Stegostoma tigrinum: one gene and its partners. The main gene of each other region encodes a partner of the protein of the gene in region 3 in a complex. Links are inferred from orthologs where the notes say so. Each region holds a gene or a part of one and is shown on either strand. Other genes may lie near its edges. The genes, in order: mitogen-activated protein kinase kinase kinase 20-like, dual specificity mitogen-activated protein kinase kinase 6-like, A-kinase anchor protein 13-like and nod2.

What was found.
Region 1: A-kinase anchor protein 13-like (region 3) and mitogen-activated protein kinase kinase kinase 20-like share a complex: the UniProt entries of both Homo sapiens proteins name them as parts of the signaling complex. The link is inferred for Stegostoma tigrinum from reciprocal best matches to the Homo sapiens genes AKAP13 and MAP3K20.
Region 2: A-kinase anchor protein 13-like (region 3) and dual specificity mitogen-activated protein kinase kinase 6-like share a complex: the UniProt entries of both Homo sapiens proteins name them as parts of the signaling complex. The link is inferred for Stegostoma tigrinum from reciprocal best matches to the Homo sapiens genes AKAP13 and MAP2K3.
Region 4: A-kinase anchor protein 13-like (region 3) and nod2 share a complex: the UniProt entries of both Homo sapiens proteins name them as parts of the signaling complex. The link is inferred for Stegostoma tigrinum from reciprocal best matches to the Homo sapiens genes AKAP13 and NOD2.

What each region holds. Positions count from the first base shown.
Region 1 is NC_081360.1:48,612,254-48,620,198, forward strand, and holds the start of mitogen-activated protein kinase kinase kinase 20-like, read right to left. Parts: upstream 3,320-7,945; 5' UTR 3,213-3,319; intron 3,207-3,212; exon of another isoform or gene 2,809-3,206; intron 2,778-2,808; exon of another isoform or gene 2,501-2,777; intron 2,493-2,500; exon of another isoform or gene 2,371-2,492; intron 2,280-2,370; 5' UTR 2,258-2,279; coding exon 2,099-2,257; intron 2,093-2,098; exon of another isoform or gene 1,424-2,092; coding exon of another isoform or gene 1,406-1,423; intron 1-1,405. UniProt on the Homo sapiens protein: Stress-activated component of a protein kinase signal transduction cascade that promotes programmed cell death in response to various stress, such as ribosomal stress, osmotic shock and ionizing radiation.
Region 2 is NC_081376.1:17,311,941-17,320,046, reverse strand, and holds the start of dual specificity mitogen-activated protein kinase kinase 6-like, read left to right. Parts: upstream 1-4,999; 5' UTR 5,000-5,296; coding exon of another isoform or gene 5,297-5,312; intron 5,313-8,106. UniProt on the Homo sapiens protein: Dual specificity kinase. Is activated by cytokines and environmental stress in vivo. Catalyzes the concomitant phosphorylation of a threonine and a tyrosine residue in the MAP kinase p38.
Region 3 is NC_081386.1:28,170,754-28,179,087, forward strand, and holds the start of A-kinase anchor protein 13-like, read left to right. Parts: upstream 1-5,180; 5' UTR 5,181-5,271; coding exon 5,272-5,287; intron 5,288-8,334. UniProt on the Homo sapiens protein: Scaffold protein that plays an important role in assembling signaling complexes downstream of several types of G protein-coupled receptors.
Region 4 is NC_081369.1:27,097,642-27,105,216, reverse strand, and holds the start of nod2 (nucleotide-binding oligomerization domain-containing protein 2), read left to right. Parts: upstream 1-4,339; 5' UTR 4,340-4,831; intron 4,832-7,575. UniProt on the Homo sapiens protein: Pattern recognition receptor (PRR) that detects bacterial peptidoglycan fragments and other danger signals and plays an important role in gastrointestinal immunity.

The DNA of each region.
Region 1 (7,945 bases), on a different chromosome or scaffold from region 3:
TCCCAAAATACAAATTGTAGATTGCACCATTTCAGCATCCAGCTACTTCTTACATCTCAAGTGCCATTGCTAGAAGCTACTCACTAGGAGCTTCTTAAAAGAAAGCCCTATTAATATACGTGTTCTGCACTTAAGCTTTGATAACACTGAGCCTGGAGCCTTTTGGCATGTTGTTCAAGCATGCTTAAAGTATTCACATCCTCTGTCCGTCTTACTCAAATCATTCTTTGTAATTCACCACCTTGAAGCAAAGCAGAAATAAATAATTTAAATCTCTGCAGACTAGAAGAACTATATATAGAATTTTATAATAGTGAAATTCGAGTAGGGCTCTACATCCAGACGATTAAAATAGCTCCATCAAAACCATTTACTGATTTCAATGGAAACACTAAATACACATTTAAGAATCCTGAGAGACTACAAGAACTGATAAATGCATTCTTTCATAATTGATTCTCTGCGTGGTCCAACTACTTACATGTCCTATCAGAAAATGGTCATGTGTTTATCAATATAGAAAGATAGCTGCTTACATTTTGGCCTAAGAAGTTTCAGTCTGGTGCTCACCATATCTTCCTGCACAAAACTTCTTGTGAAAACTCACTGGGGAGAAACTCAATTGGTCACATGTGCCAAGCCAACCTTATTGAGTCAGCCTGAAGAACAGTCTCTCACTTCCCTTACTCCTGCAGGAATTGTCGCAAATTACGTCAAACACAACAAAGCTCAAAAGCAGACCAATAAAGATCAGACACGAATAACACAGAAATATGATGCTTTCATAAAATAGAAAAAGTAGCCAGGTTAAACATGACAAATAAACACAATCAACTGTAGTAATTACAATGTGTTTTAGTTATTGCAATATATGATACTGAGTTAACTTTCTGATTTTAATTAATCTACAGAAGCACTGAAGGTACATCATCAGACATGGTTACATCTTTGCAATTAATCAGGGGTTCGTTCGACAGTTTACATAAGTGTGAATTTGTACATTTGGGGAAATTCAACAGTGCAGATGAATTACTAGAATAAAAAGTAATATCAATCACATGGTAAATTGATCCATTTTGCACGCTGAAGAGAGTTTGGGAATTGGAACAGCCACAAAGGGCAGCAGATTTATTGCTATAAAAGGGTTAAAGTATTCAAGAAATTAGACCACAAGGTTATAGGAGCAGAAATAGGCCTAGGCCTCGAGTCTGCTCCACCATTTGATCACGGCTAATATGTTTCTCAACCTTATTCTCTTGCCTTCACCCCATAACCCTTGATCTCCTTACCAAGCAAGAACCTATCTCTGTCTTAAATACACTCAATGACTTGGCCTCCACAGCCCTCCGTGGCAGCGAGTTCCACAGGTTAACCACGCTCTGGCTGACAAAATTCCTTACTTCACCTCTAAAGGGTTGTCCATTCACACTGTGGCTGTGGATCCGGATCCTTGTCTCTCCTACTACAGGGAACATCTTCTCCATGCATATTTTATCCAGGTCTCTCAGTATTCCGCAAGTTTCAATCAGATCCCCCCCCCACCCCGCCTCATCCTTCTAAACTCTACCAGGTACAGGCCCAGAGTCTTTAACCACTCCATATATGAGAAGGTTTTCTAGATCATTCTGGAAAACCTTCTCTGGACCCACCTCCAATGCCAGCAAATCCTTCCTTAGATCCAGGATCTACAACTGTTCGAGTTCAAACTGGACCAATGCCTTATAAAGCACCAGCAGTGCATCTCTGCTTTTGCGTTCTAGCTCTCTTGAAATGAATATTAAGTGCTTTTGTTTTCCTAACTGCCAAATGAACCTGGACATGAAGAGAACCCTGAATTTCAGCTCTTCAGAGGTAAGTGTAGCCTTGATGTACCAAATGGGCTGCTTCAACACTGTAGGGATTCTATAATTTTGCTGACCCCTGCAGAACTCCACTAATCACTGGCTGTTACTCTGGAAAAAAAACCCTTTTATCACTACTCCCTGCCTTTTGCCAATTGTCTATCCACATCAGTACCTTGCTCTTAACACCATGGGCTCTGAAAATAAAAGTTAGCAGAAAGGAGATCCACAAAATACATAGCACAGCAAAACTTCACCTCTTTTTCTATTTTTAACAACTTTTTTACTGCCACCTCTTTGTCCCGAGATAACCATGTTGCTCTATAGACACTACCAAAACTTCCTCCGCCACAGTTTTCATGAAACTGCAAATCATCAAACTTGATTTGCAAAAACGATGGACTGAAGGACAACATTGCATACTGACAATTTCAGAATCTGAAAAACATAGAAACAAATAGTTAAATAAAAAGTCATCAAAATCAGCATGCTATAACTATTTCAAACTAAATGATCAGTTTCAACACACCAGACAAATGATTTTAAAATGCAAACAAAAACATCGGTCTCAAAAAAAACAGAACTTCTGCATCTGTTGTGTAAAACAGATTTTTTTAAGAGTTTAAACTATCAGAATAACGGCTACAGATGGCTTTCACCGTGTTATATTTTCCATTTTAACTTTGCAGGTTTACTACGTTGACGGGTCCAAAAATAATCCACTGGTGTGCAAAAAACTTTGGGGCGTCCCGAGCCCACGGAAGGCGCTATGTCAAGACAAGTTTGTGGCTTAGAGCCCGTGCGCCTGTTGAGTTTCCAGGGACACTCTATCCCGACGCGGAAGCGCTGTCAACTTGGAAACTGGGTCATGGCTCTGGAATGTGACACACGCAAACTGTCCGCTTCGCAGAGAATAGCAGCTAGTAACACAGATTGGGCAGAGACCCGCTACAACGCTCTTACGTACAAATTAGAGACTTTTTTTTCTAAAATGCCAGCAATAACTTCCTAAAAAGGAGCAACTTTCGCAAAACTCAATGGCTATTCCCTGAAGTAAACACACTTCTGGGAAGTGGGAGGCGGTTTTGCTGAAACCTATCACGTGAGAGTTCTGTGCAATGCTTGAGATCCCAGAGCGAATGTAAATGTTTAAAAAAAGCCTCCAACCAGCAAAGTTCACTGGACTCCGAGACTTGCCAATGACACAAACCACACGATTACAAAAGGCCGTGAAAAGTACAACCGGCAGTTACTCCAGACACATTCGCAGGAAACAGCCTTCTTTACTTCTGTCTGCAGTTTTAATAAATAAAACTCCGCCTTGAAGATTGCAAATAAAGCAACGACATTCAATTCGGTATCATTTCTTACCTCTTACTACACTTAGCCCAGCTTCCAACTGGAAATGAGACAAGAACTCAGCACAGACGAGAATCACTGCAAATAAAATGACCAAAACCCTCCCGACACCAAGAGCCCGCCCCTTCCTCCTCCCACTCCAACCCGCACCATCAGAGAGAACCAGAACCTCCTGCAGGTGAGCCACACTCAGAGAGAACAAGCGTCCCCTGCTGGTGAGCTAAACTGTCAGAGAGAACCAGCGCCTCCTGCTGGTGAGCTGCCCGATCAGAGAAAACCAGCACCTCCTGCTGGTGAGCCTCACTATCAGAGAGAACCAGCACTTTCTGGTGAGCCTCACTATCAGAGAGAACCAGCACCTCCTGCTGGTGAGCCGCACTGCCAGAGAAGTAGCACCTCCTGCTGGTGAGCCGCACTGCCAGAGAAGTAGCACATCCTGCTGGTGAACCGCACTCGCAGAGAGAACCAGCACCTCCTGCTGGTGAGCTGCACTGTCAGAGAGGACCAGCACCTCCTGCTGGTGAGCTGCACTGTCAGAGAGAACCAGCACCTCCTGCTGGTGAGCCGCACTCTCAGAGAGAACCAGCACCTTCTGGTGAGCCTCAATGTCAGAGAGAACCAGCACCTCATGCTGGTGAGCCGTACTCTCAGAGAGAACCAGCACCTCCTGCTGGTGAGCCGCACTCTCAGAGAGAACCAGCACCTCCTGCTGGTGAGCCGCACTCTCAGAGAGAACCAGCACCTCCTGCTGGTGAGCTGCCCTATCAGAGAGAACCAGCACTTCCTGCTAGTGAGCCACACTGTCAGTGAGAACCAGCACCTCCTGCTGGTGAGCCGCACTGTCAGAGAGAACCAGCACCTCCTGCAGGTGAGCCACACTCTCAGAGAGAACCAGCACCTCCTGCTGATGAGCCGCACTCTCAAAGAGAACCAGCACCTCCTGCTGGTGAGCCGCACTTTCAGAGAGAACCAGCACCTCCTGCTGGCGAGCTGCACTGTCAGAGAACCAGCACCTCCTGCTGGTGAGCTGCACTTTCAGAGAGAACCAGCACCTCCTGCTGGTGAGCTGCCCTATCAGAGAGAACCAGCACTTCCTGCTGGTGAGCCACACTGTCAGTGAGAACCAGCACCTCCTGCTGGTGAGCCGCACTGTCAGAGAGAACCAGCACCTCCTGCAGGTGAGCGGCACTCTCAGAGAGAACCAGCACCTCCTGCTGGTGAGCCGCACTCTCAGAGAGAACCAGCACCTCCTGCTGGCGAGCTGCACTGTCAGAGAACCAGCACCTCCTGCTGGTGAGCCGCACTGCCAGAGAAGTAGCACCTCCTGCAGGTGAGCTGCCCTATCAGAGAGAACCAGCGTCTCCTGCTGGTGAGCTACACTGTCAGAGAGAACCAGCACCTCCTGCTGGTGAGCTGCCCTATCAGAGAGAACCAGCACTTCCTGCTGGTGAGCCACACTGTCAGAGAGAACCAGCACCTCCTGCTGGTGAGCCGCACTCTCAGAGAGAACCAGCACCTCCTGCTGGTGAGCTGCACTGTCAGAGAGAACCAGCACCTCCTGCTGGTGAGCTGCACTCTCAGAGAACCAGCACCTCCTGCTGGTGAGCCGCACTGCCAGAGAAGTAGCCCCTCCTGCTGGTGAGCCGCACTTTCAGACAGAACCAGCACCTCCTGCTGGCGAGCCGCACTGTCAGAGAGAGGCAGCACCTCCTGCTGGTGAGCTGCCCTATCAGAGAGAACCAGCACCTCCTGCTGGTGAGCCACAATGTCAGAGAGAACCAGCACCTCCTGCTGGTGAGCCGCACTGTCAGAGAGAACCAGCACCTCCTGCTGGTGAGCCGCACTATAAGCGAGAACCAGCACCTCCTGCTGGTGAGCCGCACTGTCAGAGAGAACCAGCACCTCCTGCTGGTGAGCTGCACTCTCAGAGAGAACCAGCACCTCCTGCTGGTGAGCCACACTGCCAGAGAGAACCAGCACCTCCTGCTGGTGAGCCGCACTGTCAGTGAGAACCAGCACCTCCTGCTGGTGAGCCGCACTCTCAGAGAGAACCAGCACCTCCCGCTGGTGAGCCGCACTGTCAGAGAGAGGCAGCACCTCCTGCTGGTGAGCTGCACTCTCAGAGAGAACCAGCACCTCCTGCTGGTGAACTGCACTCTCAGAGAGAACCAGCACCTCCTGCTGGTGAGCCACACTGCCAGAGAGAACCAGCACCTCCTGCTGGTGAGCCGCACTGTCAGGGAGAACCAGCACCTCCTGCTGGTGAGCCGCACTGTCAGTGAGAACCAGCACCTCCTGCTGGTGAGCCGCACTGTCAGAGAGAGGCAGCAACTCCTGCTGGTGAGCTGCACTCTCAGAGAGAACCAGCACCTCCTGCTGGTGAGCCGCACTGTCAGAGAGAACCAGCACCTCCTGCAAGTGAGCAGCACTCTCAGAGAGAACCAGCACCTCCTGCTGGTGAGCAGCACTCTCAGACAGAACCAGCACCTGCTGGCGAGCCGCACTGTCAGAGAACCAGCACCTCCTGCTGGTGAGCCGCACTGTCAGAGAGAACCAGCACCTCCTGCTGGTGAGCCACAATGTCAGAGAGAACCAGCACCTCCTGCTGGTGAGCCGCACTGTCAGAGAGAGGCAGCACCTCCTGTTGGTGAGCTGCACTGTCAGACAGAACCAGCACCTCCTGCTGGTGAGCCACAATGTCATAGAAAACCAGCACCTCCTGCAGGTGAGCCGCACTGTCAGAGAGAACCAGAACCTCCTGCTGGTGAGCCGCACTATAAGCGAGATCCAGCACCTCCTGCTGGTGAGCCGCACTGTCAGAGAAAACCAGCACCTCCTGCTGGTGAGCCGCACTGTCAGTGAGAACCAGCACCTCCTGCTGGTGAGCCACACTGTCAGAGAGAGGCAGCACCTCCTGCTGGTGAGCCGCACTGTCAGAGAGAACCAGCACCTCCTGCTGGTGAGCTGCACTCTCAGAGAGAACCAGCACCTCCTGTTGGTGAGCCACACTGCCAGAGAGAACAAGCACCTCCTGCTGGTGAGCCGCACTGTCGGTGAGAACCAGCACCTCCTGCTGGTGAGCCGCACTCTCAGAGAGAACCAGCACCTCCTGCTGGTGAGCTGCACTCTCAGAGAGAACCAGCACCTCCTGCTGGCGAGCCGCACTGTCAGAGAACCAGCACCTCCTGCTGGTGAGCCGCACTGTCAGAGAGGACCAGCACCTCCTGCTGGTGAGCCGCACTGTCAGAGAGAACCAGCACCTCCTGCTGGTGAGCCGCACTGTCAGAGAGAACCAGCACCTCCTGCAAGTGAGCCGCACTCTCAGACAGAACCAGCACCTGCTGGTGAGCCGCACTCTCAGAGAGAACCAGCACCTCCTGCTGGTGAGCCGCACTCTCAGACAGAACCAGCACCTGCTGGTGAGCCGCACTCTCAGAGAGAACCAGCACCTCCTGCTGGTGAGCTGCACTCTCAGAGAGAACCAGCACCTCCTGCTGGTGAGCCACACTGCCAGTGAGAACAAGCACCTCCTGCTGGTGAGCCGCACTGTCAGTGAGAACAAGCACCTCCTGCTGGTGAGCCGCACTGTCAGAGAGAACCAGCACCTCCTGCTGGTGAGCCGCACTGTCAGAGAGAGGCAGCACCTCCTGCTGGTGAGCTGCACTCTCAGAGAGAACCACCACCTCCTGCTGGCGAGCCGCACTGTCAGAGAGAACAAGCACCCCCTGCTGGTGAGCTGCACTATCAGAGAACCAGCACCTCCTGCTGGTGAGCCGCACTGTCAGAGAGAACCAGCATCTCCTGCTGGTGAGCCGCACTGTCAGTGAGAACCAGCACCTCCTGCTGGTGAGCCGCACTCTCAGAGAGAACCAGCACCTCCTGCTGGTGAGCTGCACTCTCAGAGAGAACCAGCACCTCCTGCTGGCGAGCCGCACTGTCAGAGAACCAGCACCTCCTGCTGGTGAGCCGCACTGTCAGAGAGGACCAGCACCTCCTGCTGGTGAGCCGCACTGTCAGAGAGAACCAGCACCTCCTGCTGGTGAGCCGCACTGTCAGAGAGAACCAGCACCTCCTGCAAGTGAGCCGCACTCTCAGACAGAACCAGCACCTGCTGGTGAGCCGCACTCTCAGAGAGAACCAGCACCTCCTGCTGGTGAGCCGCACTCTCAGACAGAACCAGCACCTGCTGGTGAGCCGCACTCTCAGAGAGAACCAGCACCTCCTGCTGGTGAGCTGCACTCTCAGAGAGAACCAGCACCTCCTGCTGGTGAGCCACACTGCCAGTGAGAACAAGCACCTCCTGCTGGTGAGCCGCACTGTCAGTGAGAACAAGCACCTCCTGCTGGTGAGCCGCACTGTCAGAGAGAACCAGCACCTCCTGCTGGTGAGCCGCACTGTCAGAGAGAGGCAGCACCTCCTGCTGGTGAGCTGCACTCTCAGAGAGAACCACCACCTCCTGCTGGCGAGCCGCACTGTCAGAGAGAACAAGCACCCCCTGCTGGTGAGCTGCACTGTCAGAGAACCAGCACCTCCTGCTGGTGAGCCGCACTGTCAGAGAGAACCAGCATCTCCTGCTGGTGAGCCGCACTGTCAGTGAGAACCAGCACCTCCTGCTGGTGAGCTGCACTGTCAGAGAGAACCAGCACCTCCTGCTGGCGAGCCGCACTGTCAGAGAGAGGCAGCACCTCCTGCTGGTGAAATGCACTGTCAGAGAGAACCAGCACCTCCTGCTGGTTAGCTGCCCT
Region 2 (8,106 bases), on a different chromosome or scaffold from region 3:
AATGAAGTAACATTTTTCAAAGCTTTGGAGCAGGTAGAAACAATTTGCAGAAGGTATTTTGAAGTGGCTTTTAATCAGACTCTACTGTCACTGTTACTCCTAAACAAGAGATTGATTAAAATGTTGACAGGTAAAAACAATAGCTAGGCCTTCATTTTTAAACTGAGTCGTGGTGTTCATTTTGTGCTAACGCAATAAATGGAAATGCAACTTGTATGTCCTTGCTGCTTAAGTGTGGCTGTGTCCTGTCACTGGCATCAGACTGCAAGGTGACTTCATCATTAAAACAACAGCATCAGTGCAAGGCGGGTCTAGGCCCGAAACGTCAGCTTTTGTGCTCCTGAGATGCTGCTTGGCCTGCTGTGTTCATCCAGCTTCACACTTTGTTATCTTGGATTCTTCAGCATCTGCAGTTCCCATTATCTCTGGTATCAGTGAAAGCTGCTTTTTCTTCAGTGCTCCAGCACTACTTTATGTCCTTGGCTTGTGAGAGGTTCACACTCTAATGAAAGGTTACTGAAGAACTTTGCTATGTAAATCACAAATCTATATTATTTTTGTGGTATGCAGTTGCTTCATCCACATGTTTCCACAGCCATGGACTAGCAGATAATGCACAATAATTTCCAAAATATTATTCAAGAGCAGTAGAAATACTAAATGGCATGTATAACCTTCTGGGTCACTTGAATGCTATCCAGAATGTGTTCGAAAACTGCTGCTGTCATCCAACTTAACTTGCCAGTAACCATCCTTTGCATTTCAGGCAGTAAACGTCTTTACTTCTACAAGTTGTGGCAAAGCATCTTTAATGGTGGGCACAGGCAGTGAGATTTCTTCAAAGTTTTATTGAGATCTTTTGGATTCATACATATTTTCAGTTTTGCAGGTTTATTCAGTGTTGCTCATTCAGTCTACAGGAGGTGCCACTTCCTTGACTACTCCCTTCTTATCCAGCTGTTTTATCTTGTCTTTCAAGCCAGACTTGAGGGCAGTTGGAATATTCCTTAGCTGAGTTAGCCTTATTCTTTTATCTACTTCATGATCATATTCCAGGAGCACATCCAAGACCTGTAAATGTATCTTTGTAATCTTTTAGGATCTGTTCAGCAATCAATGGCTTCATGGCCTGTCAAATTGCAAATCTCCTTTGGCATATTTAGAGTTACTAGTCCAAGCTTTAGACTTGCTTCAGCTGAGACGAATGGATTTTGCTAAATATCTACTTTCTGGAGCTCAAGATATTCATTTCGTTCCGTTGCATTTGGCTCTGAACTCCATTTATTCTCTGGCATGAGTATGATTCCATTATATAGCTTCAGCTTTACTTTCGATGGATTCAGTTTTGGGTTACCACATCGCACAGGTCTGTGAAACTGAATGAAGCACTGATGACAATTTGACGCTTCATATTCCCTTGATGCTCACATTCTGCAGCCATCTTTCTAACAGTTCCAAACCATTCATTACTTTTAGACTTGACAACTTCAACCTGTTTATGTTATAAAGCGATTCAGCAGATTAGTTTGCTGATACCTGTCCAGACACCATCTCTCTAACTATACACGTGTGCGCAGAGTGATTCGGGTTTTTATGGTTTGAGTACTGTTTTCCATATGCAGGGTATGCTTTCCATTCTTTTGTGCGATGTGCCCCATAAAATTTACATCTTGTTCTCTGGCTATGATCATATTATTATCTTTTCTGCAAATATTTCTTCCTTTTTCGCCCATTGACACTCCAGCTGATTGACAGCTTCAGAACTTCTATATGTATCAATAGCTTTCTTGAGGGTAAATTTCTCTACATAACAAGTGTGCCTGCGAGGCCTTATGCTGAAGACAGTTTTATCTCTGATTATATCATCTTTTAGTTGTGCTAACTCTCAGGCTTAAGCTAGATATATCAATGCAATCATATTGATCAATAGTTCCCTCACGTTGAGTTCTGATGCTGAACAAATACTGTTCATAAATAATGTTAATATGGGGTTCAAAGTGTATCTTCAAAGCCTGAAAAATCTCTCCTGTCTTCTCTGTCCCGCAGTAAGAATTAGGATATTATACAGCTTATAATTTCCTAACAGCAGGGTTGCAACTCTTAGATGCTCAAGTTTAAAATATAATTCTGTTTCTATGTCACAGTTTGGTCACTGTGAGTGGGGAAAAAAAAACAATTCTGTCTCACATCTTCATTTCCACAATAGTACCTAGTGTAAAACACACAGCTATTTGACTCACCCATTAGTTCAAAGTTGTGATGTTTTATCTTACTTCTTCCTTGCTATTACGTTCATCAGCTGACTCTTTTTAAAGCTTTGAACATTAACATATTTTCGTTTGCATCACTTTGACAACATTATCTGTTTAATGGGTGCCCAGACTCTACTCAAATCAGGCACTTGCAGCAGAAGTAGAAGTCACATGGCTACAGCTAGCAAGTCAGTCCTCTACTCTAAAGGCACAATTACATTTCTTCAAATGGGCTGTCTCTTTCAGATGTGCTGATTTACTCTCATGCACTCGCTCATAGACACACACATACATATTCACTCACAGGTGCTGTCTCTCTGTCAATCTTTTGTAGACTCCTCTCTCCTGGGAATATGGAGACTTGATCTCAGGTAACTGCACAGAGTGGGGGAAGAAGGAGCCTTCTCTTCCCTCGCAGCAGCCCTGGAACACAGATCCTTTGATAAGCAGACTCTCGCCCAGCCTTGAAAATTCACTGTTGAAGCTCTTGCATCCAGGCCTGAAGACTGAATGAAGCCACTTACCTTTGCACTGTTCGCTTCTCCTCCACTCAGAATGATTCTCTCCTGTTTTTGATAATGATAGGCTCAGCACTATCACCTGAGTATGGCAGATAAACAGCCTATGACTAGAGGAGCAACTCCTTGAAGATATTGTTTTTATTCAGCTGCATTTTGAGTACTGTTTCCATGATCCACATCGAGACACCTAGTGGGCTTGATTCAGGCCCCTGGACCGTGTGTTGGAAAAGCCAGCTTGCAATAACACTAGTGGTAGATTGGGCACACTGTTGAACATATGTTTTATTGCACAGTAGTTGAAAGGGTGTCAGTTGGAGCATGAGTTTGAGTATAGCACCACCAGAGTTAATTAACATCATGGTCTGTTCTTTGGTTGCACACTTACAGTGGCCATGTCAATGACAACATGGTGTTGATCACAGGCAGGACAAAAAGTGCCAAATGTGTAGGCATTACCCAAGTGAATTTTGTGGGAAGATTGCTGATGCCCTCCACAACGATTTGTTGTGCAAAATGTTTCCAAAGAATGTTCTTGCCTTTCCACATTGTACTACATTGTGAATGTGAAGTCAGGTAGCTAATTCTCCATTTATAAACCTGTTGCCTGAAATTAGATGGTTGAATTATGACCCATGTTTATTGCAATTTCTTGAAAAGCTTTTGATAACTTATGGTTGGAAAACATTGCTTGCCACTCAGGCTATTGCTTATTTAAATTATAAGGTCTCAAAGTATGTTCCATCGTCAAGTACTTGTGCCATCTTGCTGTTGTAGCCATTTGCATAATTCTTCCAATTGACTTGCTTTTTGCTTATAACAAGAAGTAGATTTCTAAACTTTAATTAGAATGACCTCTGTAGGATTATCTTGATCAAATTAATATAAAGTTCAGTAAAATTCTACTCAGGAAATAACTTGTGTACCTTTAACTCCAAGAATAATTAAATGTGCATATTAAAAAATAAACTTTCATATTTTGTCCCTACATTTTTTAAGCTGAAACTATTGGGATATTTTCAGGGGAACCCACCACATTCAGCTGTTAGTAAAGATGAAAACTCAAATGATTGGCATTCTCTTTCTAGGGAAACATCTAAACTCAGCCTGTGTATCCAAGAAGAAAGTGACTAAAGTACATGAGGGCAAGATGTGGACTGTGACCTGCAGCAAATTGCTGATCTGAGCAGGACTGCCGGTAAATGCATCAGGCCACTTTCCTCAAAAACAGTGAAAGAGAAGGTACGAGATTCAGCTCAATCCTCCTGAAAGGGATTCCTGAGCACCAATGGAATAAGCCCAAGGGGAAGACTAAAGCAGTGCAAATTCTGCTCATATCTGCTTGTGAAATGAGTATTTGTTCATCATTATACTAATCATGTCTTTCCAGACCACTTCAGGACCAGGAGTGCCTATGGATTCCTGTCTATTTCTCTGTCCTATTTTCTGCATACTGTTGTTGCAATTAATGTGTTACTAGGTTGATGGCAAAGCACTGAAAGAAGACTGTTCAAATTGATATTCAAAGTATAAGTCACACTTTTGTATTTTTGTTATGTAGTGAGTTATTGGTCATTAGCAAGCTGTTGGGGTTAATTAATTGGAGACACACTTTGTGCACTGCTTTTGATAGTAATTGAAGACTCTTTAAAAAGAGTCAGATCTCTGAAATTAGTCAAGGCATCAAAACTGCTTCTTCTAAAGAAGAGACACTTGAGATGGGATTTCTTTTATTCAATACATAATTATGATCTGTAATGCATTACTGGAAAAGGAACCAGAAATAGATTTTCTGTAATATTCAAAACTGCATTTTATAAACACTTGAATGGATAAAATTTGCAGAACTATGGAAAAAACAGGGGAGTAAGAGTAATTTTCAAAGATCCTGCTTGGACATTTTAGGATAAGTATCCTTATTCTGTGTTATAATGTTCTATGATTAACAATATGCCATTTGAGATAGCCCTGAGGTTTGGTTAGGGGAAAGAACAGCCACACACTTGTGCAGAGATAGTTTGTTTAATGAAGCATTTCCTTTCAGAACACAGCTGCCCATGGGCGTGTGTTTTTTAAAATCAATAAGCAACAGAGAAATACTCAAAAATCCACCTAATATGATTGCCACTTGTAGACATTTGGGTGTTTTTTGAAACGAAAACTTACCTCTGTAGCGTCCTTGTCTGGCAATCTTCCAACTTCCTGTGTGATGTCATGGTTGAGATTGGTTTATTACTGCAGCTTCTATACTGAGTTTGTGGCAGCTGAGTTGGAAGGAAGATTAATGCCGGTGCAATTGGAGACGGGGGTATATTTTTAACGTAAGGAAACAAATTGCCGTTAGGTAGTAGACAGAAGGAAAAAGGTGAAATACTGGAGAAGCAAAGCAACATCAAATTATTTTGTCAGAACAGCGTGCATGCAAGTCTGCATAGTGGGGCCCAAAGCGTGCAGCAAGTTCTCTGAGTTTGTTAATGAGACTTCCCCTAAAGGTTCGTCACGCCTCAGCTGCACTTCTGGGAACTCATGGACAAGAGACAAGGTAAGTTTTGCAATTTTATTGACAAGCTCTCCATCTAATTTATTGTGAGGTTTTTATTTTTTGTGTGCGTTAGAAGCTGCGTTTTGCATAGCTGGTTCAGCGTAGCAAGCATTTTGGAGCTAGCTTGTTTACTTCCATTCGTTGCACAATCAGCCTTCCTTTACAGTAGCTTGTTTGCAGCAAAGACCTAAAGCAGGGAGTTACCGTAAGTTGCAGTGCCAAACAGCAAATGGAGCCAGCTTCTGGTAGCTGAAGGTTGCTAGCTCAGCGTTCTTCCATGCGGTTTTATCCTTTAAGTTGACCCAGCATGGTGATCTTTATAGAAATACACAGTGCACGGATTTCACTATTTCAGTACAATTTCTGCAGCAGTTAATGGATACCCTGAGACTGGGAGTGTTCATCTTAAAGGGACACATTGGCTCGGTTACCAGTTCAGCCTGGTCGTTGTACATTGCTTTAGTAGAAAGATTTAGGTGGAGAAGTTTACTTTGAGACTTTCCCTGTTGGTGTGTTTTGCATTGATTTTCTATATTTGCAATGCTGCATTGTTCTTGGAAGCCATATGCGGTGATAGGAAATTTTTTTTTATGTTGCATAATAGCTCCACTTTTACTGTTTTTGAAATACTTTTGATTTTTGAATATGCGTATGTTTTCTTATCATTAAAGCTGAATTCAATAACTTGTTTTATGAAATTTTTTCTAGTGTGGGTTTTGTGCTCAATGATATGATTGATGTTATTTCTGGGAATGGAACACTTCCTACTTGGCACTCGCTATTTGCATCAAACACTTTCAGATCAGTTACAGCGTTGTTAAATGTAGAGGAAAGATTTATTCTCGTTAATTTGTTCGAAATTTACAGACGCTATAGACGTTGCAAACTAAGTGGAACAAAAGTATTTCGAAATAAACATGCATAATCAGGCTTAAACCATTGGCTTAGTGGTACCATTCTTGCCGCTTGAGTCAGCGGTTTGGGTTTGTGCTCACTATAGGCAGTCCCGGTGAGCGGAGACTGCAGTGACGGCTGTGACCACTGTACTGGATTGGCATCCAGTAGAGGCCACAGAAGGGTGCCCTTCCCCACATTTATAATCAGGGTTCTGTCTTCTCTTGTGAGAGCTCACTGGAAGAGGGCCCTCCCAAGATAAGAAAAAAAAGTGAAGATGCCAATGACCTTGATGTAGTGTAGACCTGTTGGAATAACGAAATGGAGGGGTCACCACTTATCACACTTGGCCAATTTTTAGACGTCCCATTTTACAAATAGTGTCTATCATATTAGCCTGTTCTTAAAATGAAAATTTTGCACAATTTTCCTGAAACTTTAAAACACATGAATATAAGTGGAATGTTGAGAAACTTCTTCACAATTATCAGTTATTCCAAGAATTGGAATCTATGGAGTTTCTTGTTGACTTTGGGTTTTGTACTTTTGAGAGATGACCTCTAGTTGACCTGATTGCTTAATACTTAATATTATTGAATAATTAATTTTATAATAACAATTAGTGATGCAAAAAATATTGTCTCATTGAATTTTTGTCCTTTGTTGTAACACAGCTTTTGATTTCAGTGGCACAATGAAGACTGGATGATCTATAATACCCATGTTTAATCCACTCGGTCCAAATTTCAGATAGATATATCTGACTTTTCAAGAGATTTTAAAAAAAGATGTTCTTTGCAACACAGCTAGAAGTGGTGACTCAGTCTAGAGTATAGTTCTCAAAATGCTGGTCACTGTCTATCTGCTGTTGTGGCTGCACTTCTTCCAATGTAGAGTTATGTTGGACTTGAACTGTGGAAAAGATGTATTTTTTGAGTTTTGTCCTGTTTCACCTCATGCCCATATGCACCTGTGATGAGCAGAAACCTATCTGCAACTTTCTAGTCTAAGGTGGATGGTTAATTGTACCTTTTCAGAGACTGCTGTGGGTGTGGTAAGCTAATTTGACATGAATTCTGTTTAGTATGGCCATGAAAGCTGTTCAGTATGGTCCAGTACTGCAGCAGATGGTGTCTTTGTCTGATGAGCTTGAGGGAGTTTTTTAAAATTGTATTTTTGGTTTGAGGTTTTTAGACTTTAAATGTATAATTTAAATTTAAATCTCATTTCTTAAATGCTGTATTTGATGCATATGCTTGTCCACTCACATCATAAATTTGCCAAACTAGACACATGATCAGGTTATCTTACACTCTCTATTTACCACAGTGAAGATAGAGGATCATCTCATAGTCATAGTTAAAATCTTCATTAAGAGCAGGCATTCTGGAAAAGAAGCAAACTTGCATTTAACAATATCTGTTTTTTGCATCTCTTGGAAGCATTTACAGTCGTTTTGAAATTCACTGCCCGTTGCATGCAGAGACAAATGTAGCTGCTGTATGTAGTAATGAATGCTTGACCAGATTTTTTTTTACTGATGCTGGTTGAGGGAAGAGTATTAAGTGGTTAAATATGCAAATCATTGATATTTTCCCAACCATCAGCACAGGCTTGATAGACTAAATATCACCTGCTGTGCTACAGATTTCTGCCAGATTCAGTGCTTTTTTATTTTGAATCTCATTGTGGCTGTTGGTGTCAGTTTGATTGAATTGCCTACTTTTGAAAAGATTGCGAGATAGCAATATCAACTTCCTTGTGTCAATAGTTATGCTACTGTGCCAAAGTTCAGTTGAAGGCCAAATGTGAACTTCGCGCTTCACCTCTCCAGATTGGAATCTGAGATAACATGGTGTGAAGCTGGATGAACACAGCAGGCCAAGCAGCATCAGAGGAG
Region 3 (8,334 bases):
TTCCACAAGCCCACCGCTCTCTGGCTGAAGGAATGTCGTCTCATTTCAGTTTTAAATTTATCCCCTCTAATTTTAAGACTGTGCCCACGGGTCCTAGTCTCCCTGCTTAACGGAAACAACTTCCTAGCGTCCACCCCTTCTAAACCATACATTATCTTGTAAACCCTGAACTTCTGACCCTTCCATGACAAGTAGTTCTAAACTAAAGTTTGCATCCCTTCCCCTACCCTACCTACCCAAAGGTAGCTTCTTTATAGACTTCTACTTACTGACTATAGATCTGCCTTCAGCACAATAATTCCAAACAAACTCCTCTCTAAAGTATGTGACCTAGATCTTTGTCTTCCTGACCCATAGACCACAATCGGTAAGAATAGGCAACATCACCTTGTCCACCATAGCCCTCAACCCCGCAAGGCTGTGAAATCAGTTCCCAAATATACTCCATGTGCATTCATGACTGTGTGGCCAAATTCTGCCCCAACTCCTTTTACAATGTTGCTGATGACACCAACATTGTAGGTTGGAGACGGAATACAGGAAAGAGATTGAGCGCTCAGCATCGTGGTGTAAAGCCAATGATCTCTCCATCAACGTCAGCAAAACAAAGCAGCTGGTTGTTAACTTCAGGAAGCAGAGTAGAGGGCATGCCCCTGTCTGCATCAATGATCCTGAGGTGGAGGTGGTCAAGAGCTTCACAGTCCTACAAGTGATGATCACCAACAATCTGTCCTGGTCCAGCCACGTTGATGTACAAGCAGATTCGAGAACAGCTTCTACTCTGCTGTTTTTAAACATCCGAATGTTAATTCGGACCTCTCTCGCCGCACCTTCACTGTGCTGTAACATTGCATTCTGCATTTTTTCTGAGTAAGGGTCACTGGATCCAAAACATTAACCTGATTTCTCTCCACGGATGCTGCCAATCCTGCTGAGCCTTTCCAGCAATTTCTGTTTTTTGTTCCCGAAGGGGTATGCATGAGCCTTGGAATGTTTTGATGTATACAAAGCATTATATAAGTTTCGGGATAAGATCTAAAATAGGCTGTTGCAACTAATCCAAAAGGTGACGTTTCTGCAATTAAGCTATTTAAAGATGCTGAATTGCCCCCACTGAATACCGTTCATCTCTCCCCTCCCCCCAAACCATTTCCCAACTTCAGGCAAAGGACCAGATTTCAATGAAAGTGTGCTATCTTGTGCCCCAAGCTAGTCCGTGAATTTGCGATTTCGAGTTTGTGGTTTGTTGACCTTGTACTTTAGATAATGTTAGCTAAACATGTCCCATGTGAAATTTCTTACTTGGCTGATATAATTAAGGCGTTCACTCACTTATTCGTATTTCTGAGTTGTTCTGAAGTTGGATGTGGAAGCCAACTTTAAGAAATTTGACACAAAATTAAACTCCTGTTTTACTTTGTAAATTGATATTTGTAAAGGAATGTTTATGAAAGTACTTTTAAAATTGTTTAAAAATGCATTTAAAAAATGCCCAGGCTCAAGCCTCAATTTTTAAACAAGTTTTTTTTTTGGAAATAGATGATTGTGGCTCGAGGTTCATTCTCATGTTGGGAAAGCAGAACAAAAGTCCTGAATATAGCAGGAAAGACGGTGGTAATGTCACAGAACGGGTAATTCAGAGGCCCAGGAAAATACTCTGGGAACATGGGTTTGAATCCCACTATGGCTGTTAATGGAAATTTTAAAAATCATTGTTAGTCTTGGTGATGGTGACCATAAAGCTATTATAGATTGTCATTATAGAGTCATTGAGATGTACGCCATAGACACCCTTCAGTCCAACTCGTCCATGCCAACCAGATATCCTAAATTAATCTTGTCCCATCTGCTGGAATGTGGCCAATATCCCTCTTAATCCCTTTGTGTTCATATACTCTCACTCATCTAGATGCCCCTTAGAAGTTGTAAGTATACCAGCCTCCACAAATTCATCTGGCAGCTCATTCCATTCATACACCACCCTCTGCGTGAAAAAGTTGCCCCTTAGATCCCTTTTAAAATCTTTCCCCTCCTCAATTTAAACCTATACCCTCTGGTTTTGGACTCCACTACCCCAGGTCAAAGACCTTGGCTATTCATGACTCATGATTTTATAAACTTTCATAAGATCACTCCTCAGCTTTCAACACTGCATTGAACCTGCTGAGTTTTAATGTATATTTTAGGGAAAAATCTTTGCTATCCTTACCCAATCTAAATAGAGGAAATTAAATGCTGTCTGAAGAGATCTAGTGAGCTGCTCAGTTCAAGAACAATTAGGATGGCAAAACACACCATGAAAGGAAAATTGAGGGGCTACTGTGGCACAGAGATAAGTGTCCTTACATCGATGCCAGGAAGTCTCCAGATTCATGTCATACCTATTCTGATGCTGAGTCATAATATTCCTGAGCAGGTTGATTTTTTTTTAAAACAAAACCTAAACATCAGCATATAGAAAATCATATTGTAGAGTTTTTTAAATGTTGCCCCTGATGGCATGGTGGCTCAGTGGTTAGCACTGCTGCTTCACAGCATCATGGACCTGGGATCGATTCCAGCCTCAGGTGACTGTCTGTGTTGAGTTTGGAAATTAATGGAATAGTTCTTTCCAGTCACAAGCACTGACCTCCAGATAATAATTACAGCACCTGTTCACTCCCATTAGTGAAAATGACATCACTTTTTTTTTTGTTTTTCTTTGCCCTCTGCACTATCCCTTGTGTGATGCTGCTAATGTCCAACAGCAAGCCCAGATGATGTTTGGCCAAATGTTCATGATTGAACCTCAAGTCAAATCAAGACCATTTTGAGTGGTGAGCGAATTGATGTAAAGCTTTGGTCAGCGTTGTTCTTTCACTGCTTAATTATCTGAGGATGTGATCCAACTGAGTAAATCTGTCCAAATGGCTCCAGAAGAGTTCGCTGCTCTGCAATGTGTCTCTGGTATGAGGCAGGAATTCATTAGATGAACCAGTTATAATCCTAGGCCACCTATGTTTATAAAAGTCATTCAGATCATGTACTGGGGGAAGATATTCTCCAAACATCCTTCATGAAATTCAAGGGAATCTGTGATCTTCTGAGGGAACCCTTTCATAATTTGTTGTGAGTTATCTTGTCTGGGTTTCCAAATGGTATTCTCAAATTGCAGAATCTATTCCATGCTTGGCAGAATGATGAGGCTGTACATTACAGAAATGAATCTTGACTCAACTAATGGCTTTTGAAAACAGGATGAGATCAGTTGGAATAATCAGAACCAGCTGATCATCGTCTTGGCTCGTACAATCTTTCTTAGTCGAATTGTGTTGTTTCCATAGTAAGTTAGGAGATTTGGGCTTTTCGTCATTTTTCCTTTGTTTTGCCCTGTAAGGAGGCACGGGGTGGGGGTTGGTTCTATGTCCTCTGAGCCTTTGTATGTGCTTGTCCTTTTTAGTATATTACAGTTTTAAACAAGGCAACAAAGAACTCAGTCCAAGTGTGGGTGCCACGTGTGGGTTAGCAGCTAGCATTGTTCCCAGCCGTTATGATAATACATTAATCCACCGTCTCACTGCAGCACGCAGTAAGAATGTGATTCTTTTGTACATCTGACCCTGAGGGAGGTACGAATGTCAGCTGATTTACCAACATAATTCAGTTGCTGTCTTCCTAAAGATTTTATTTCATTTGAAGCTAATTAATTTAATCTACCAGTGAAGCTGAATGTCATTTATGCCAAGATGCTAAATATGCTGATGCTAGCATTGTGCTTCGATAAACCTGCTTGATGTGAAATGGTTTCAAATATAATGTTTAGAGAATTGTTTCAAAGTGTGTTTAATTATTTATGCACTCCAGTAACCAAGGTAAGTTTTAGTTGAAACAATCTGCTTTCAACCCTGTCCAGTTTATTTTAGCACCAGTAGAATTTGTGCAATTTAAGGTATGATGTTACTGATTACTGTTTGATTATCCAGGGAATTTTTGTGCTGTGCTCTGTGAATTGTTCCTGAGTGACAGAAGGCAAGTCTAACCCAGAAACATTCTGGATCCAGTAACTGTGATCTGATTTCTCTTAAATTGGACTGGAGTCACATTTTGCTGGTCAGCGCTTGTATTGGACAAGAAGGTGTTTACTAAGGAGCAAACATTTTCTTCCTGTGGCCATGCTGCTTGCTGGTTTCTGTAAAATCTGGATTGTGGCGTTCTCTTTGTGTTTCTCCACTGTTATCATCTTTCTTTTGTAGCAAGCGTCACCATTTTACTGGAGTGTTGTTGCACTTGTGTCTGATGCACTCTGGTGCCCCTTACAGTTAGATATTAATGAAGAAATCCATGGGTTTAATGCTGTATGTTCTCTTAATTCAGTAGTCTTGGTGCTGTGTATTCTCTGAATTTGAAATTGTTGGGGCCGTATAATGTTGAATCCCTTTTTTATTGTGTCGATTCTGTTGCCTGCTTGACCACAATTTGAATCAGCTTGTGTACTGAACCTAGTTATTTAGCATCTACAGCTTGAAAGGATTTAATTACATATTCCAGCCAAAGCATTGGATGAGAGATAACAAAGTTTAGAGCTGGATGAACACAGCTGGCCAAGCAGCATCTTAGGAGCACTAAAGCTGACGGCTTGGGCCTAGACCCTTCATCCCTTGTCCTCCCTCTTCACATTAGTGAGAATACGCTTGCATTTTCATTGGATGGGTGATGTCGACAAACTATTCCACAGCTTCAGCCACAGCTCTGGCATGTAGCACAAAGCTTCGCACAGATCAGCGGTCTGACCTGTAGATGGAGTTTACCCAGAAAGGTTGGGGTGTTGTCACACTACACGCACGACATGACTGAGACCGAGCCCAAATGCTTTTATAAGGATACAAACTCACCACCATAACCAAGGGACGATGCAGATCGAGCCTTACTTTCTCTGAGCAATGTGCATGTTGTCTGGACAGAAATGGACTGTTTCTCCTTCAGGTGTTGTAATTGTCATGTTGCATTTAGTACAGCACACAGAAGCAATTTATTTTGTCCCTACTACTCTGCACCAGCATTTATACTCCCCAAGAACGTCTTACCATCGCATTCTCTAACACTATCCTTTTTCTCTTTCAAGTGCTTATCGAACTTCCTCTTAAATGCAGCTATGTGACTTATCTCACTACGCCTTGTGGTAGTGTGTTCCACATTTGTACACTCTCTCAGAGAAGGATGTTTGTCCTAAATTGCGTATTGGGTCCATTAGTGAATGTCTTCTATTTTTAAACTCCAGTTTTGGACTCCCACATGTCTGCTGTGTGCTGTAAGTTTGTGCCGTTTATTTTGAGAATTTATTCAGATGTTTCTTTGATTTTGGCTTTTGTGTTTAGGTTGAGTCTGCAGTATGTGTTTCGTGCTGTGTGAGAACTGCAAACCACAGGCATGTGTGCAGCTGCATTCTTCAACTGTTCCCCTATAAACTATGTGGTCAGGCTTTCACCCTTGCTAAGGTTTAAGCCGTGCTAAAGACAATTTGGTATTAATCATCTTCAGGCTTATCCATAAGCAGAAGCCAATATTGCTGCTACAGGCATCAGTTAGAATTAGTAGGAGCTGAGTCGTCCTGTCAGCTGTGCACTGTCTTCAGCAAAGGAAAGCAAGCACTGCTGATTGAAGTTTAAATGTGGGCGAAGTTTAATTTTAGTGATGCATCCATAAGATGATACATCGGAGCAACTACTAAACTTGCAGCTGTCTCGCAAGTAGAATGAAGCTTGGGGCGCAGCATTTGTTCAACTATGAAATATCTGTTTGATGGCTTTGCACTGAGTTATATACTTTTGTTTTGGTTAGTGTGGGGCTGAAATCTGTTTGCATTGATAGCAAATGTGCCTGTAACATTTGCATTTGTATGTGCCTGTGCAGTGTTGCCCCTCTCTGTGTGTTCTTCTTCTGTTCTTAAAGCAGTGATAAGGTCTTTATTTGCGTAAAAGGCATGTCATAGAATCCCTACAGTGTAGAAAGAGGCCATTCAGCCCATCAAGTCCACACTGATCCTCTGAGCATCCCACCCCATGTCTGAGACTTCACATTTCCCACACATAACCCCTGGACACTGTGGGAAATTTAGCATGGCCAGGCAACCTAAGCTGCACATTTGTGGACTGTGGGAGGAAACTGGAGGACCCCGAGGAAACCCACACAGACATGGGGAGAATGTGTAGAGTTTACACAAATCAGTTTCCCAAGGCTGGAATCTAATAGATTCAAATTGCAATCTCCACTTGGATCCCCACCCTTTCCTCAGTTTTTTTTTTCCCTGTTCTCCAACCAGAGCACATATGTTCCTTTCTACTGGGTTAACAACAAGTCAGGGGAAACTGAGCTCAATCTAAAATGTTCAAAAAGTCTCTAGAAGCATGTCCGCACTTGGTGATTTCAAAGGATCCCCGTTATGGGCTCAGATATATCTTGCATTGAATTGTCATCTTTGCATCTTGGCCTGCTGCAGTTTCTTTGATTTCAAACTGCTCCACGATCCCATAGCACCTTTTTGGTGATCTTCTTTCGTTTCACCTTGGCTCGCAATCTCAGCCACTTCACTGCCTCTTCTGTCACTGGGACTATTGTGCTCTAATGCTCTGGAATTCATCAGTGAACCCAAATGTAAACTCATCCTCTCAACTGTCAATTTTTAAAAATTCACTTTGGGATGTGGCTGTTGCTGGCAGGGCTACCATTTATCACTCCTCCCTAGTTTCCCTTGAGAAGGTAGTGGTGAGCTGCGGCACGTTTGGTATAGATAGATCTACAGTGCTGTTAGGGTGGGAATTCCAGGAGTCTGATCCAGTGACACTGATGCAACAGTGATAAATTTCCAAGTCAGAATGGTGAGTTGTTTGGAGGGGAACTTGCAGATGGTGTATTCTGATGCATTTACCACTATAGTCATCTTCCTGGATGGTGCTCATAGGTTTGGGATGTGCTATCGAAGAAGTTTTAGTGAATTTCTGCATTTTGTTTATAGTATGCACTATTGCTACTGTGCATTGGCGGAAGAGTGGATGTGATACCAGTTAAGCCAACTGCTTTATCCTGGATGGCATTAAGCTTCTTGAATGTTGCTGGAACTGTACACATCCAAGCAAGTGAGGATGTTCCATTGCACTCTTGACTTGTACTTTGTTAATGGTGGATTCAGGAGGTGAGTTACTTGCTGCAGTGTTCCTAACCTCTGTCCTGCTCTTGTGCCCACAGTTTGTATTGCTGGTTCAGTTTCTAGCCAGTGGTAATCCACAGGATGTTCGAGTCACACAGCATGGAAACAGACCCTTCATTTCAACTCATCCATGCTGACCATGTTCCCAAACTAAACTGGTCCCACCTGCCTGCACTAGGCGCATATCTCTTGCAACCTTTCCTATTCATGAACTTATCCAAATGTCTTTTAAGCATCGTAACAGTATCTGCATCCGCCGCTTCCTCAGGATGTTCATCCCAAACATGAACCACTCTGTTTTTTAAAAATTGCCGCTCATGCCCTTTTTAAATCATTCTTCTCATACCTTAAAAGTATGTTGTCTAGATTTGAACTCCTCCAGCCGATGCAAAAGATCCTTGTCATTCACTCTTTCTATGCCCCTCATAATTTTATAAACCACAATAAAGTCATCCCTGAACCTTCTACACTCCAGTACAAAAGACTCACAGCCTTTCCTGTCTATTTTTTATATTTTTGCTGCTTTAAGTTTTTAATATTTAAACTAGAAGTGCAACATCATTGTGTGGCTGTATCTTGAAAGGGATTCATCATGACTGCCCAATGGTATCAGTGTGGACTTCACACGCTTCATAATCTCCCCTCCCCCTACCGCATTCCAAAACTAGCTCAGCTTGCCCCCGCCTCCCTAACCTGTCCTTCCTCCCACCTCAAGCCCTCCCCCTATCTCCTACCTACTAACCTCATTCCGCCCCCTTGACCTGTCCGTCCTCCCTAACTCCCCACCTACACTCACCTTTACTGGCCCTCTTTCACCAGTCTGTTTCCTTTCCACTTATCATCTCCTCTGTTGATCTTCTATCTGGCTCCCGCTCTCTCCCTGTTTATTTCAGAACCACCTTCCCCTCCCTCATTTCTGATGAAGGGTCTAGGCCCGAAACGTCAGCCTTCTTGGTCTGCTGTGTTCATCCAGCTCTGCACCTTGTTATTGTGACCGCTCGTGGCTTTCAAATTTGATCTATACAGCATACTGCAGCAAGTTTTGAGAATGCCTTTGCTCTTTGACCCTTTAGTGTGATCTGCAGTTGGATTATCAAGCTGAATCACGCATTACAGCTCACTAATGCACGCTTGTAAATTGGCAAAAGAAG
Region 4 (7,575 bases), on a different chromosome or scaffold from region 3:
ACTTTTAAAACTATTTAATTTGTCCTGCCTCTTTGTAACTTCATTGTGTTGGTGAGTGTAAACACTTGAATGCATGGTTTCGATTTTCATCCCCAGGGGAATGGCGCAGAGTTGCATGAAATCCTGGCTACATCAATGTGATGTTGATATATGGTGAAGATAGAGTCAGGCCAGGAGACCCGGTAAGAGCTGAAGAACTTGCCCAGTTCTTGAGATAGGCCAATAAATGAGGCCATTTAGGGGAGGCGATGGCCGAAGTGGTATTATTACTGGACTGTTAATTCAAAGACCCAGATAATGTTCTGGGGACCTGGGTTTGAATCCTACCACAGCAGATAGTGGAATTTGAATTCAATAAGTATCTGGAATTAAGAATCTAATGATGACTGTCGACTGTCAGGAAAAACCCATCTGGTTCACTAATGCCCTTTTGGGAAGGGAGCTGCCACCCTTGCCTGGTCTGGCCTACATGTGACTCCCGACCCACAGCAATGTGGTTGACTCTTAACAATTAGGAATGGGCATAAATGCTGCCTAGCCAGCTGCACCCTCATCCTGTGAATGAATAAAGAAAAAAAGTATCGATAGACGGAAAAAAAAACTAAAGGACCAAACACGCTGCTGGACATGCAGTATACATCCCTAATCAGGGAGAGAAAGAGGATCAAATACGCAATCAAATTTCAGAGAAGTGTATGATTAATATGGCCTTAAGAGTAGGGCATTTCAATTATCCAAATATTAACTAAGGTAATGTGCAAAGTAGAGAGGGAGAATAATTCTTAAATTGCACACAGGAGAACTTTTAAACCAGTACGTTGGAAATTCAACAAGGGAAAGGACTGTTCTGACTTGATATTTAGAAAGGAGCTTGGGCAGACAGAAGTCTTGTCAATGGGGAATATTTTGAAGAGAATGATCATAACTCAGTCAGATTTAAGATAGTTACAAAAAACAAGTTTGAGGAATCAGTTAAAGTTCTAAACCAGAAAACGGTTATTTTGCTGTACTATTTGGTAGCCAAATGCAATGGGAGCAGTTCGTTTTAGATAAAACTGTGTCAGATCGGTGGGAGGCATTCAAGGACGAATTGGTAGCAGTACAGGGCAAATACGTTCCTATAAAGATAAAGCAAAACTTTTCATAATGCCTCTCAATGTCAATCTACAGCAGGTGGACTGTTGTGGTTCAAAAAGGCGGCTCACTATCACCCTCTCAAGGGCAACTAAGGATGGACAATAAATACTGGCCAGCCAGCAACAATCCACATCTCAAAAATGAATAAAAATATTTCAGAGTCAAACATGAAATGATTGTAACATGTTTCAGCCAAATGAATCTCAAAGAATATGAATTCTCTGACTGGGGCTGTTAATCTGGTCCAACCAGGAAGCCTTGCCTGACAGGTACAAACAGAAGTGTGAGACGCTGCTTGGCCTGCTGTGTTCATCCAGCTTCACACTTTATTATCTCGGATTCTCCAGCATCTGCAGTTCCCATTATCACTGTTAGAGGTTCTGTGCACTCTGAGAGTTGACTCTGGGAAGCCAGACCAGTGTCAAGAACTATGCACATGTTAACAACGAGTAACTTGGTGATGGAATACTGGTATCCAAAGCAGCTTATTTAAAATATAAATAAATCTTGAGACTTAATTTACAGTCATTATTAACTAGTACATTCTCCATGACAACACCTCTATCAAATAGAGTCCATTTTGCCAACCAATTAGCATTCTCGTTTTGAATGATGTTTTCTATTTAATCTGGTACATTGTGCAAACTGTCTTGATGAGTGCAAAAAGAAAAGCTTCCACAAAATATGTCTTCTTTCAACAATATGTTTCAGGTAATAAACAAAGTTAAGAACAAAGAACAATACAACACAGCAATAGGCCCTTCGGCCCGCCAAACCTGCACCAACACATTTTCCCTGCCATATAAAACTGTCTTCTCTTACAGGATCCAATATCCCTTTCTCCCTTTCCTTTTCATATATTTGTCCAGGTGACTCTTGAATGCTGCTATTGTGTCTGCTTCCACCAGATCCTCTGGCAGAGCATTTCAGGCATTAATCACTCTTTTTGTGAAAAACTAGCCTTGCACATCTCCTTTAAACTCCCCTTCACCCTATGTCCCAACACTTTGAACCTGGGTCCCCTAGTAATTAACCCCTCCACCCTGGGAAACAGCATCATACCTATCCACCCTATCCATGAAGGTTGGGACCCTTCTTCAGAAAAGTGACATTTGTGTGACTTTTGAATGTTAATGGGATGCTCTCCTGCTTGCTGAACCATACTTGATAAAATAACCAGAATGAGAGGACAATGTTGATAAGGTGAGTGCCAAGCTGCCAAAAATAGTAATCTGAGAATGTTCACATTTGTATCAGTTTTGCTTTATGGTTTTATGAAAGTTTGTTCCTCATGCCAATTACTGAAGGCGTTTACTTAGGGAAATGTTTGTTACCAAGGTCATGCCCAAAGCATTCTGTGGTCACAAAGTGCTCATTGCTCAATCTTGCCTCAGCTTCTCCATATTTCCATCTATCTTCCCACTTTTAGCCGCTCCAACTTTGCTATTCAAAATCTCTTTTGTTTAGTCTGCATCCATCTTAGTCTAAGGTGGGCAGCACAGGAATTTTCTGAGGATATTCCACTGCAAAACAGATATACTGCTTTGAATGCTGTTGGGGGATTGACCTCTCAGGGTAAACCAGCAACAGCCAAATTTATTGCAGCACAGTTGTTTCTGCTGCACAGGAAAGGAGGAGAAAGTGTGGGAATGCAATAATTGTAGGGATTGAATTGTAAGAGGAATAAACATGTGTTTCTGTGGCAGAAAACGAGACTCCAGGATGGTACGTTGCTTCCCTAGTACCAAGATCAAGAATGTCTCAATACAGCTAGAGGACATTCTGGAGGGTGAGGGTAAACATCCAGTGGTCATGGTACAAATTGTGTCAGTGACATAGGTTATGAAAGGGGTGAGGTCTTAAAAGCTGAGCTGGGCCAAAAGACCGCAAAGTGGCAGATGGAGTTTAATTTACATAAATGTGAGGTGTAGCATTTTGGTAAGACTAACAAGGGCAGGACTTATAGAGTTAATGATAAGGCGCTGAGAGTATTGTCAAATAGAGAGGCCAAGGGATTCAGTTACATGGTTCCTTGAAAGTAGTGACACAGTTAGGCCGGGTGGCGAAGAGGGTGAAAGGCACACTAGCTTTCATCGTTCAGAGTAGTGAGTTGGGACATTATGGTAAGGCTGTAAGGATGTTGGTGCTCACTATTGGAGTACTGTGTACAGTTCTGGTCATCCTGCTATAGGAATGATATTATTAAATTGGAGACGGTTTAGAAAGCATTTACCAGGATGTTGCTGGGACCGGAGGCTGGGACCTGGAGATGGATAGGCTGGGACTTTTTCCCTGGACATTCAGAGGTTGAGGGGTGACCATAGAGAAGTTAATCCATTCATGAAGGGCATAGATAAGGTGAATAGCCAAGGTCTTTTTTCCTAGGGTAGGGGAGTTCAGAACCAGAGGGCATAGGTTTAAGGTGAGAGGAGAAAGATTGAAAAGGGACCTGAGGGGCAATTTTTTCACACAGAGGGTAGTCTGTGGAATGATCTGCCAGAGGAAGTGGTAGATGCAGGTACAGTTACAACATCTAAAAGACATTTAGACAGGTACATGGATAAGAAATGTTTAGAGGGATATGGGTCAAATGCAGGCAAACTAGTTTAGTTTGGGAAACCTGGTCGGCATGGATGAGTTAGACCGAAGGGTCTGTTTCCGCGCTGTGTGACTGTATAACTCGGAATCCTGTGAACTGGCCAGCTTGTCTGACCTCTGCAGCCCTCCTTGGGTTACCATACCACAATGCGTTCTGAGTAGAGCAGTTGTTTGGGAGTTTGGCATTAGGTTATGAAGGACATGGACTGTCCAGTCAAGCTGGTTTGGAATAATTAGTACCTCAATTCTGGGCCTGTTGGCTTGGGAGAGCATGCTGCTGTGGAACCACCTATGTTGCCACGGGATTTGAAAGATCCTGCAAAAGCATCTCTGGTGGTTCAATTCTGGTGCTTTGAAATGTCGGGGAGTGCCAGAATAGGAGTATTTCTCCATGCAGTAAAAGCTAAGCTACCATGTCCTATTCATTCATGCTCAGTTTTTCTTGCATGCCTACCTATTGCCAGCTTATATATTACAAAAATACTGTAAATCCTGCAGCTGGATACAAAAATCGAAACTCCTCAGAGCAAGTAATCAGTTCCAAAAATCTGCTTCCCCTGCCGGAAGTGTTGACTTGTCTTTTCTGCACAACGACAGACTGACGCCCTTCGGGTTATCTGATGTCAGCTTCCTCTTTCACAACTAATATAGGCCAGAAACTGGAGAGAGAGAGAGAAAGGGCAGTTTCTGAATTCTGACACGATGTTGACGGTCTTAGAATGATCTTAAGGAATGACTCAGCCTCCCTCTGACCTGAACGCCTTGTGAAACACCACTAGCCTTGCCTATTGAAACGTCGGGATGTTTTAGAACGGGTGGAAGTACCTCTCCGCGCCAGAAGGAAGTGGAGACGGAGATCATTATCTGATGTTGTTAATTGTGTTTCTGGGCCAGCAGCCACTGAGCATTGAGCCTCCCGCACCAGTTCGGAAAGGGTGCAGCTCTCAGACTGCCCCCGGCATCTACACCACAAGGGAAGTTCATTTGTGAGTTTACGAAGCCGCCGTGTGCAACTGGGAACAGCACAGAAAAGTAGAACCTCACATTCCACGAGCCTTGTTGTGGAATTTGAGATGTGATGAGAACATTGCTTAAGGTACCCCTAAGGTTCCACTGTACTCATTTATTACATGCCGTTATGAAAACTTCCTGCGTTGCTATTGACGGGGATGTGAAACTTTCAAAAACGTGCTAGCGATACCATACACAAAGTCAGAAGTACACCTGGAGTTATCTACCTGTAAAATCCTGTCACTGCTCAGCGCTGCTCTGCTCTTTGAAGGAAAGAGCCTTTTTGTAATGTTTTTGATGCTGGGTTCGGATTAGACGAATAAAACCGAAACTACTCTTTGCTGGGTAGCTCAGCGTGATGGCCCTCCGGAGGATTTAACATACGCAGAAAAAAATGTTTATTATGTTTATTTAGGGTTGTTTCGAAATAGCATTTTTAATATCAAAAATATACTTTATTGATTAAAAAATCTTTATATACATACATAGTGAAGCTGTTCGCTTCTGTGCAGTGGCATATCGAGAAACAAGCGGACAGTGATTTGTTTGATTCTATCCAGCAAACAAACCAAAGGCATTTCTTGCCTATACCAGATTATATTTACATACAGCAATTTCCAGCTTCATGGCAGCTCAATCTGTCTAGAACTCTGAAGATGAGGTTGTAGGTGAAAGTAAACTGAGCCTCACCCTGTTTAATTTGAGGGGTGAAAGTATGCCATCTTTAATCGAAACTAAATCGAGTTTGCATGCGTTCATTTTGTAAACTGGGGCAAAGAATCTAGCTGGTAGGGAGCGAATGACTATCTTTTTATTAAAGAAAGACATACGCGATGCATTTATGACCCACCCCTTATTGCCGTTGAGAGCAGTGTACAGGCACCTTGAACGGTTGTAGCCAGCCCGCGATGCTGTTGGAAAAGACATTCCAATGTATTGATTCAGTGACTGAAGCAGTGGTCGCTCCAAATCAAAATGTTGCGTGGCTTGGGAGCAAAATGCAATCATTGTGTATGTAGTGTAGTATGGAAACATTGGGCTTAGGAACCAAATGTTCTGCTACTGTTCCTAAGTGAGTTTTGAGAAGTTGATGATGTTACCTAGAATGGTGACGAAACGTCTGAAAACGAACGTTCCAGCTCAGCGAGCAAACTCACATCCAGAACTGTTTCTAAGTCCAATACTACACTGTATACACTATACTATACTACAGTAAAATGCTTTGGGATGTGCCGTATTTGTGAAAGGTTTGTATAAATGTGAGGTTTTTTTTGAATTGGGCATCTCATTAGTTGTTTAGGTATAATACAGCTGGAGCTGCAGGAGCACAGCAGGCCAGGCAGCATCAGAGGAATAGCAAAGCAGACATGGGACCCTTCAGAAATAGGGAGAGGTCAGGGAGCTCAGAAATAAGTAGAGGGGTGGGGCTGGGGAATGTAGGTGGCATGGTGATAGGTGAGTGCAGGTAGGCAATGGTGGGGATTGGTCAGTGAGGTAGAAGGGGTGGATAGGTGGGAGAGAAGATGGACAGGTTGTGTCAGGTCAAGGAGGTAGGGGTGAGAAGGACGGTTAGTCATGGGATGAGGAGATTTTGAAACTGGTAAAGTCCACATTGAGACCATTGGGCTGTAGGCTCCCAAGGTGGAATATGAGGTGCTGCTTTTCTAGTTTCCGCGTGGCGTCATTGTGACACGGGAGGACGCCCAGGATGGACATGACACACAGGGAATGGAAGAGGGAGTTGAAGTGGTTCGCGACTGAAAAGTGTTGTCATTTGTTGCGAACAGAGCGCTGGTGCTCTACAAAGCAGTCTCCGAGCCTCTGCTTGGTCTCACCGATGTAGAGGAGGCCACATTGGGTGCAGCAGATGCAATAGACCACATTGACAGATGTGTGTGTGAACCTCTGTCTGATGTGAAAGGTTTGTTTGATTGACCTTGATGTTGACCTGCTCCTCCCACCTCACTGACCAATCCCCACCACTCCCAACCTGCACTCACCTATCACCGTCCCACCTACCTTCCCCAGCCCCACCCCTCCTCTCTCTATTTATTTCTGAGATCCCTTTCCCATCCCCCATGTCTGAAGGAGGGCCCCAACCCAAAACATCAACTATCCTGCTCTTTGGATGCTTCCTGGCCTGCTGTGTTCCTTCAGCTCCACACTGTTATCTCTGACTCCAGTATTGGCAGTTCTTACTATCTCTGAGTTGTTTAGGTATATCTCGTTTTGGATTTTATCCGCATCCCATGAAATTAAATGCTTTCAGTTAACCTTTTTAATATATAACTGTGCTCCAATGCTTGGTCATCTCACTGATCCAATTTTGACCAGCATTAAAGAAGAAGAATAGGGAACAATAGATGAATGAAGATTGTGAAGCTCTGGTCAAGAATAAGGTATAGACCATTGGATTAAGTGAATCTCTTGAAGAGCATAAGGGATAGATTCACTGCCACCAATTGTTCTCATTTACTAATATCAATGGAGAAGGATACCCACACACAGTCTTTGACAGAAGGGAAGCAGTACCCGACCTCAGTAATGGATACTGCTGGGACTGGAGGCAGATGAATGAGGAAGACAGCCATGGACTCTGGAGTGAGGTAAATCAGTATGGGTTGGGATATTCAACAAACCAAGTGCCTACAGGCTTTCATGGACTATGAAAAACTATCTGACAGCATATACAGAGAGGTTGTTAACCCCAGGCCAGGAAATCTCAGACAGCTGTTAAGTTTCAGGCTAAGGGCGCGACCATTTAAGACTGAATGGAAAGAATTTCTTTATTGATAAGGTGGCATTTCTTTGGAATTTGCTACTAGGGAT